Linked DNA regions of Caenorhabditis elegans. The protein of the gene in region 1 purifies or fractionates together with the protein of each later gene. This does not show direct contact. Each region holds a gene or a part of one and is shown on either strand. Other genes may lie near its edges.

Region 1 (4,192 bases):
GAGTTTGAAACTCTACTTTTTTTTAAATTTGTTCAAAACAACAAGTACAACTCCAAAATTACATGTAGCTGGTAGAGCCAGAATATCAACAAAAAAAGAAAATTTGATTGTATATAATGCAAATTTTCACAGTATTTGAATGTGTTCGAATATAAATAAAAATTAATTCAGATGAGTTCAATGAACAAGAAATCAAGAAACTTTCATCTTTTTAAACTTTACTTTTTTAGAATTACATTTTTGGAAGCACGATGCTACCTACTCCGTCTAATCTCTCTGATGGAATTGTCTCCAAATAGAAATTTCAGATTAATCAGTGTGTAGCACTAATTTATAGTAAATATCATTTTCATCGAAATGATCTAGAGTAATTTTTGAACTGTTTACTGTCTTTGAAAATTGATAGGTTTTAATCTTGTTTTCAAATATGTGGGCAATGCAGAGAATGCAAAAAAACTTGTTCTCATTCGTATTTTCTTGAAACTACTGAAAATTACCAGTTTTCATTTATAAATTATAACGAAAACAAAACAAAAAGTACTCAGAATGTGTCACAAACAACTGCAGAAGATTTGTTTGATTGTTAGTACAAAACCATGAAGCTGCTGAAAATTTTTTTTAAAGCTTGAACTGGAAAACATAATAATCATCAATTTTCTAAGAAAGTTTTAGAATACATATCAGTTTATATGCAAATTTTTGGTTTTATTCTTGAGTGAAACATTCAATTTTTATTATAATTACTTTTCAGGCAATTTCTTTCTTATTGTCCCAAATGTATAAATGTTTAAAAACTTTTTCATACAAATAGCTAGTAAAGTTTCTAGTTTTACAGTTATAATAGATTGAAACATTTGTGAAAAACACGATGCCGGATATAATTATGGCAGGCGTTCGGAAAATTCGCAAGTATATATAAGCTCCACTAAGTATATGTAGTGTTATTTGAAATTCTCAGCGTTCTACTCACATTGTGAATAAACCTGAACTGCCAACAACCACATTTCATTCTGATTCGTTATCTCTATATTGTTTTGTTGTGATCACTGAACACGAAAGACACACCGATCCATTTCATTTTCAAGTAAACAAATGTCTGATAGACTATACTATCGGGCATACAATAGAAACCTGTACCCAACCTTCACAACATATGTGCAGGTTTGAATTCGATGAATTGTTGTTTCCATATGAGATTTTTAGATATAACTAATAAACAAGAGAGCGTAGAGAGTAAGCGGTCAAAAAACCTTTATCAGATCCGGCGATCAACTAGTTCTTGACAGTAAACAATGTGATGGACCGCACAAAGCATTTACATCATCCGAAACGATTCTGCAGAGACGCCTGGGGAAGACGGAGAACTTGGCGAGTTTCCCATTTTTTGATGAAAACAAAACAAAACGGGCGTCAAGAGTACACGGAGAATATTGATCACTGTAATCCATAATTCCAACCTTGATCGTTACCCTCTTTTCTTGTTGATGTAAATTTTATTAGAATAACAACAGAAAAACACGAAAATCCCGACTTCTGAAATAATAAGATGTTACCGCCCTAATGAAAGGAGTGAAAGATTTCGGTATATAAGATCGTCTGAAACTACTGGAATCTTCAGTCCAACAATGAAGTTGTTGGTTTATTCCTTCTTTTTCCTTGCCGTCTTGGCTGTCTTCTCTCATGCCAAATCTGTTGGTCAACGTCTTCGTAGAGATGTAGAAGCCGACAAAGGACACATTTCTGGAGCTGATCAACACCGAGGATCTCGAGCTGCTGGAGATAAACCATCGCAATTGAGTCAGCCAGACGGTGAAAACCCAAAACGTCCAGAAAGAGCCGCTGACAACTCACACAAAGGATCCCTTGATGCTGATACTGATATTAAGCGCCCAGCAAGAGCTGCCGGGCAGAAAGAAACTCAACAAGCTGATCAAGAGCAACATCGCGGATCCCGAGCTGCTGGAGAGAAGGGAACTCAACACTTTGACGGACGTAATACAAGAGCTGCCGGAGAGAAAGGAACTCAACAAGCTGATCAAGAATCGCAACGTCCAGCCAGAGCCGCTGACAACTCACACAAAGGATCCCTTGACGCTGATGCTGATATGAAACGACCAGCCAGAGCTGCCGGCCAAAAAGGAACTCAACAAGCTGATCAAGAGCAACACCGTGGATCCCGATCTGCCGGACAGAAGGGAACTCAACACTTTGACGGACGTAATACAAGAGCTGCCGGAGAGAAAGGAACTCAACAAGCTGATCAAGAATCGCAACGTCCAGCTAGAGCCGCTGACAACTCACACAAAGGATCCTTTGACGCTGATGCTGATATGAAACGACCAGCCAGAGCTGCCGGCCAAAAAAGAACTCAACAAGCTGATCAAGAGCAACACCGTGGATCCCGAGCTGCCGGACAGAAGGGAACTCAACAAGCTGATCAAGAGCAACACCGTGGATCCCGATCTGCCGGACAGAAGGGAACTCAACAACTTGATCAAGAATCAAAGCGTCCAGCAAGAGCTGCCGACAATTCCCACAAAGGATCCCTTGACGCTGATGCTGATATGAAACGACCAGCCAGAGCTGCCGGCCAAAAAGGAACTCAACAAGCTGATCAAGAGCAACACCGTGGATCCCGAGCTGCCGGAGAGAAGGGAACTCAACAAGCTGATCAAGAGCAACACCGTGGATCCCGAGCTGCCGGACAGAAGGGAACTCAACAAGCTGATCAAGAGCAACACCGTGGATCCCGAGCTGCCGGAGAGAAGGGAACTCAACAAGCTGATCAAGAGCAACACCGTGGATCCCGAGCTGCCGGACAGAAGGGAACTCAACAACTTGATCAAGAGCGACACCGTGGATCCCGAGCTGCCGGACAGAAGGGAACTCAACAAGCTGATCAAGAGCAACACCGTGGATCCCGAGCTGCCGGACAGAAGGGAACTCAACAACTTGATCAAGAATCAAAGCGTCCAGCAAGAGCTGCCGACAATTCCCACAAAGGATCCCTTGACGCTGATGCTGATATGAAACGACCAGCCAGAGCTGCCGGCCAAAAAGGAACTCAACAAGCTGATCAAGAGCAACACCGTGGATCTCGAGCTGCCGGAGAGAAGGGAACTCAACAACTTGATCAAGAGCGACACCGTGGATCCCGAGCTGCCGGAGAGAAGGGAACTCAACAAGCTGATCAAGAGCAACACCGTGGATCCCGAGCTGCCGGACAGAAGGGAACTCAACAAGCTGATCAAGAGCAACACCGTGGATCCCGAGCTGCCGGACAGAAGGGAACTCAACAACTTGATCAAGAATCAAAGCGTCCAGCAAGAGCTGCCGACAATTCCCACAAAGGATCCCTTGATGCTGATGCCGATATCAAACGACCAGCAAGAGGTGCCGCAGACATTTCTCAACATGGATCAGTTCATACCGAGGTGAAACGTCCAGCTAGAGATGCCGGCCAAAAAGGAACCCAGCAATTCGGAGGAGACCATCACCGCGAATCCAGAGCTGCCGGCCAAAAAGGAACTCAACAAGCTGATCAAGAACAACACCGTGGATCCCGATCTGCCGGCCAGAAGGGGACTGGACAAGCTGATGTTGAACCAAAGCCTGTGAAGCGAGCTGCCGGGGAAAAAGGATCTCAACATGCTGAGATCGACCCAATGTTCCACCCACAGATGTAAGATATTGCATATGGACAAGCTCCGCTCGAGTGAATTCCACTTCGACGAAAACTCTCGTTTCGAAAAATTGTAATATGTATATTAATCTATTCATTTTCATGTGAATTTGTATATTAAAACATCTGTAAAGTATAATAAATTTTCATTCTTCGCGATCTCTGTAATAAGATTCTTAAAATTTTCAGAACTTTGAAAGGTGATTTGATAGGGTATCTTACAAATGATTTGCTAGCCCTGTCTTAATTCTGTGAGACTCGACAACAATAGAAAATGTTGATTTCATTACAACAATTGTCGTTCAATTGAAAAAAAGCTTTGCTTCCGAAAAAAAATTCATTATCAAGTTCGTAGAGTTTTATTATCTTCAGAATCAAGATTCGATCGCAAAAATGAATAATTCCATGGGACCTCTTCTCCTCGCATATCATAGCAGTTTCTGATAGCCTTCCCTCTTTTATAAAGATTATGAGCTGCGAAAATATATTTTCGCACCTCATAATTATTCA
Region 2 (5,628 bases), on another chromosome or scaffold:
TCCTAAAACATTAGATCAAGATTATTGTTACGACGTTGTATTTGATTGCACCGATTCTTCAAAAATGGATATTTTGGCATACCACTGCAGTGATGGAGTTATTTTTGATTGTAAGTTACCTCAATTGATCTTTTTTTCGAAATCCCAAGATAATTTATACATAAATGTAATTTAGCTCGTTCATATACTTGTCTTGCTTCTTGGAAACATGATGACCGTCTTTTGATATATTCAAATCGTGGTAGTGATGAGAAAGAATGCTTTGTTACACATTTTCATGAAGGCAAATTATTTATGGCTGCTACAGGAGATCAGTGCGAACGAAACATTGATTTTGCCAAAAACCAAGATTTAATTATGGTTTTGGAGGAGAAACGTAAGAGTTATTTTGATTTTTTTTGATTTTCCATTCAGAACTTCAGAAACTTGCCGAAATCACACATTCAAGTCAAGAAAGCCAACAACTCCCATAAAGCTTCACGCATCTCCTATACTTGAATTAAACACAACTTCTACTCCAGAAGAACAAACTACAACAATAGACATATCAGTTTTATCAGATGAATTCTGGTTTTCTTCAGCATTCAGAACAAATCAAGTAACATCGCTAATAATTATTTTCTTATTTTTAATTCAATAGACAATCGTAAAAAAATGAATTAATATTAAACAAGAAATCGTTGATCTACTAAACTCGTCTTAATCAAATGATTCGTTGACAAGTAACCGAAAATCAAACGGATCAAGTGAGAAATAACATACACAACAAAACCAGCAAGATATAAAGATCCAGACCATAAATAGAAGACTGTAACTGTTAAACATTCAAATGAAGTCCAAGCCCACTCATTTCCATAGACAAAACATCGGGAGTATGCAATCTCCACAGGATCCCTTAAATTAATTATTGGTTTGAATAATAATTTGAGTTATATGTATCTACCTTGTGAATGTGCCTGTAATTGATGAATCACTCATTTCCATATCTAAAACTGATTCCAAGACTGGTCGATCCCGAACAACATATTCGATATCTGTTATTGAATGATCTACAAATTTCTTTAAAAATGAGTTCATTTGGGAATGAGCATCGACTGTTGCATTCATTTTTGCCGTGATCGCTTCATGTCCAACTACACCAGATGTAGTTTGTTTGGAGACCGCAAAAATTTCGTCATATTTCGAACGAAACAAATTCGGTAGATTTACCGTGAAAGTCTGAAGCTCTGATCCTGGTTCAAGTCCTCGGAATCCGCATAAATTATTCTGAAAATATATGACCTCAGTTTTCGTAAAACAAATCACCGCCAACTAACCCGCTCGCGTTGTAAGAATTCATTCATCTCACTCATTCCAGCATCACCCTTTCCATGAACAGAACGACCATGAATATAGTATCCATACAGAGAATGGGTCAGAGAAAGGACACTGAAATTGATTTAAGCCGTGAAGAATTTTTTTTTGTAGGTTTAAGCATTTTACCTTATGTTTGACAAAGAGCAAAGATCAACAAAATTATGAAATGGGTCGGTCACGATTCGTTCAACGATCAAAACTCGGACAAGAACTTGCAGCAATGCCAATGAGAGATAGACAAAAATTGTAACCGCTAATGAGCTGGCAAGAGTGCTCAGAGTTGTTGAAGAGTCGAAGGCATCTAGAAATAAGCTTATTTCAAGTATTCAGTGCTCACCATACCTCTCTCAAACTCTGGTTCAACCAAAGCATAGTTCTTGACTTGAAAGTATTCCATTAGAAGAATCATTGTGATCACTTGAAGTGCCAAAGACGTTTTTCTATATTGCTGAAGTTCATTCCATTCATTCGCAATCAAATATGTTCTCCAAACTACAACTGGTTCAGCTTCTGTTGATTTGTGAAGATCTCTTGATAATGGCATTCCGTGTTCATCAGTCTGAAAAATCCAAATTCATCGAGGTTCCTCATGTATTGGCCAAACATGCCTGTCTAAGTTTTTGCCTTTCCCAGTCAATGAAGAAAGTTTCTTGAAACACAAGAGCACCCATTGTGAACAGCAGTCCAAAAAATTTTAAAACGAGGGAAGCGATGAAATAATGAAATAAGAATTTTTCCTGATCATAACTGAGCATATTGTACAAAACATAAGTCTGACTTTTGTACGCAAATGTTGTCCAACAAGCAATAAATCCGAATAAAACGAAAAATACATCTCCAAGAATCGAAACTTCACAAACAAAAAAGTAGAGAATAGAAGAAGCATCAACTGCAGAAGGTTTTCCTTGTCTTCTTCCCCAACTATATGAGCACAGAGCTGACCAGAACAATGACATTGGAATGATTATTGAAAGAGCTATTATCAACTTTTGATCATATCCAGATGAATCTTTATGATATATTATTTCCAAACTATTCTCAAATATTTCATCTGTTGAATCATCATATTCAATTGTTAAATACGGTGGATTTATGTATCCATCTCTTTCTTTCTAAAATTTGATATTCGTTTAAAAAAAAAGGGAAGATTTAAAATAACCTGTAGAACTACATTAATTCCAATTTTTGCCGCAAATCTCATAAGTTTTGATGAATTGTCAAACTTCATCGAATAGTCATCAAACAAATAGAATCTTCGAGTGAGCACCCAACGATTCCGATCTTTATTTGCAAAGTTTAAAAGTTGTCCATTGACTCGTACTGCACTATTGAGAATGTGTACAGGATAGAGCTTAGAATGTCCCTGTTCATCGGAAAACTTCAAGTACACTTCAAATAATTTTCTCTCAAGACGTGGATCTGTGAATGTTGCCTTTCTTATTTTGCATTCTTTTTGATAACGTCTTCCGAATAAAAATGGAGCAAATGGGTTCAGAGAGTCATCACAAAAATGAAGAAATATGTCTTCCGAAGTGAAAAATCCATCAAATGTTCCATTTACATCATACCTAAAATCCGTCAAATCTTTGGAAAATTTAATTCATGAATTTAGGCTCAAGTGAAACAAACCTTGCAAAGAAAAGTTCGAAGGAAGAATCTGGACGAAACAAATATTGATGGTCAATTACATTTTCATTTTCCAATTCAGAATCATCAGTGGTTGCAAGTGCATCCAATGTATTTTGCCATGGATTGAATAATCTTTTAATATTTTCCAAAAGTCCACACGCATTCAGTGAAGACCCTGATTCAAAATTTTGCAGTACACACATGTTGACCATTGCCTGAATATAAAACTATTTTCTATATTTACTAATTTTCAAAATGAAACCTCGCAACTTTGAATATTCCTTTCCGAACACAATTTTGCATCCGTAGACAAGTGATTTTCAATGTAGATAGATTTCATTTCGACCCCGTTTTGCAGTTTGATTCGTGTATAAACTTGATCGGAATTAGTAGAATTCTGAAAAAGATTAGTATTCCAAAAAGAAAACACTAAAATGTGAATGAACAAACCATTTCGGAACACGACGTTTCACATTTCGTGCAATATCCGTTGTCATTTCTGTAAAAGCCAGAAGCACAGTTTCCACAGAATGCATCATTTGTTAAAAGATTTCCAGAAGCGTCTCGAAAAATGAGAGTGCTTTGTGAAGGGCAATGGCATGTTCCATTATTACAGTTTAAGCATCCAGTTTGGTCCGGCGAGGATAGTGTTCCTGTAAAAGTTAGAGTTAAATATTTAAATAAATATTCAAAATTCAACTTTTCATGAAACATACCTTCTGGGCATTCTTCACAAGTTGGAACAAAACCATTTCTAAAAATTTCAATTTGGTTTTTTGAGCACTTACAAGACATCATGTCATCTGATGGAATAGTTGTATTCGGGCAAATTTCGCATCTGTAAACTTGGTCATTTTATTAAAGTAATACGTAGTTCAATAAAAATGTAAACGGCATAATTTCCATTAACAAACAAACCTTAATTCAATCCTGTTAAAATATTGAAGCCTCGTACAATTTTCAGGCATAGTGAATGCAATGTTTCGTGAACGAAACTGAGCATTTGAAAATGCTGATATTGAAATTAAAGTAAATATATTTTTTAAATTCATCTAGTAACTGAAAAAGCAAGGGTTTGGTCAATTTGTGCAGCAGGAATGAGAAACGAACCACGTTGTCATGGTGATGTTGTGCGGCAGGAGACCCAAAGGGAGGAGAGAGCATACAAATGGTGTCACAAGGAGACGGAGGATATTCCATTTTTAATTTCTGAACGAATAAATAAGTTGGACATTTAAATAATTCTAATTTAAATAAACTTTTAGCCAATGGTGAAAAAGGAATTAGAAAACTACCCAAACTCGCGAAATTGCGTAATTTCAAACCGGCGTATCTTGAAAAATACACTTCTACGAAACAAATGTTCAACTAACAAAATGATCAGAAATATTTTTTCTTTCTATTGCATTGCATTTTTTTTCCAAAATACAAGTTGATTGTTGGGTTATGCCTAGTCAAAGACAATTCACCAAAATCTATCAACATTTTTGAGAACTGTTCTGCTGTACCAGTTATAACCCAACATCCATTGAGTTTCAAAAAGGAAATGATTTTTAATAATAATTATGAAATATTTTTCTACATTTAATCAATTTCAAGTTTTTTGATATTTTCATGTTTACCCAAGTTACAGACCGTTTTTCGAAAAAATCCAATTTCGCTCATAAAACTCTTCATATCCAACCTATCGACTTGAAATTTTGAAAAATGATATTTTTTTTGAGGTCTCTACAATGTCCTAAAAAATCTTTCAAAAAATCCTGCTAATCTCGAAAATCGTCCTCCGCTCCAAAAAATGAAATCGGACTTTTGCTTTTCGAGAAATGGGCAAAAAAATCAAATTGCGATTTTTGGGTCGAAAAATATATTTTTAGAAAGCTGAGAACACGCTATTTACGAATTTCATGTTCATTTTAAGTGATTTCTTCTCTGAAATGACCTAAAAATTAAACAAAAGAACATATTTTTAATTCTCACGTGTAATTTTTTTAATGTATTTGCTTTAAAACAATTGAAACACTGAGCAAATTACCAAATAATTACACGTGAGAATTAAAAATATGTTCTTTTTGTTTAATTTTTAGGTCGTTTAAGAGAAGAAATTATTCAAAATGAACATTAAGTTCGTAAATAGCGTGTTCTCAGCTTTCTAAAAATACTTTTTTCGACCCAAAAATCGCAATTTGATTTTTTTGCACAAAAGCAAAAGTCCGATTTCATTTTTTGGAGCGAAGGACGATTTTCGAGATTAGCAGGATTTTTTGAAAGATTTTTTAGGACATTGTAGAGACCTCAAAAAAATGATTATTTTTCAAAATTTCAAGTCGATAGGTTGGATATGAAGAGCTTTATGAGCGAAATCGGATTTTTTCGAAAAACGGTCTGTAACTTGGGTAAACATGAAAATATCAAAAAACTTGAAATTGATAAAATGTAGCAAAATATTACACAATTATTATTCAACATCATTTTCTTTTTGAAACTCAATAGATGTTGAGTTATAACTGGTACAGCAAAACAGTTCTCAAAAATTTTGATAGATTTTGGTGAATCGTCTTTGACTCGGCATAACCCAACAATTAACTTGTATTTTGCAAAAAAAATGTAATGCAATGGAAAGAAAAATATTTCTGATCATTTTGT

The links. The genes of interacting proteins can lie anywhere in the genome.
Region 2: the proteins of D1086.9 (region 1) and mks-3 fractionate together in Caenorhabditis elegans (co-fractionation; one large-scale study listed by BioGRID). This does not show direct contact.

The regions. Positions count from the first base shown.
Region 1 is NC_003283.11:14,102,645-14,106,836, forward strand, and holds D1086.9 (Filaggrin-like), read left to right. Parts: upstream 1-1,625; coding exon 1,626-3,686; downstream 3,687-4,192. Other genes in the region: D1086.12 (DUF19 domain-containing protein), read left to right, coding at 1-2.
Region 2 is NC_003280.10:7,579,605-7,585,232, forward strand, and holds mks-3 (Meckelin), read right to left. Parts: upstream 4,052-5,628; 5' UTR 3,954-4,051; coding exon 3,904-3,953; intron 3,824-3,903; coding exon 3,702-3,823; intron 3,639-3,701; coding exon 3,436-3,638; intron 3,383-3,435; coding exon 3,248-3,382; intron 3,201-3,247; coding exon 2,986-3,200; intron 2,925-2,985; coding exon 2,516-2,924; intron 2,469-2,515; coding exon 1,965-2,468; intron 1,916-1,964; coding exon 1,699-1,915; intron 1,658-1,698; coding exon 1,483-1,657; intron 1,429-1,482; coding exon 1,317-1,428; intron 1,267-1,316; coding exon 944-1,266; intron 895-943; coding exon 666-894; 3' UTR 641-665; downstream 1-640. Other genes in the region: F35D2.6 (Cation-independent mannose-6-phosphate receptor), read left to right, coding at 1-110, 176-376, 423-640.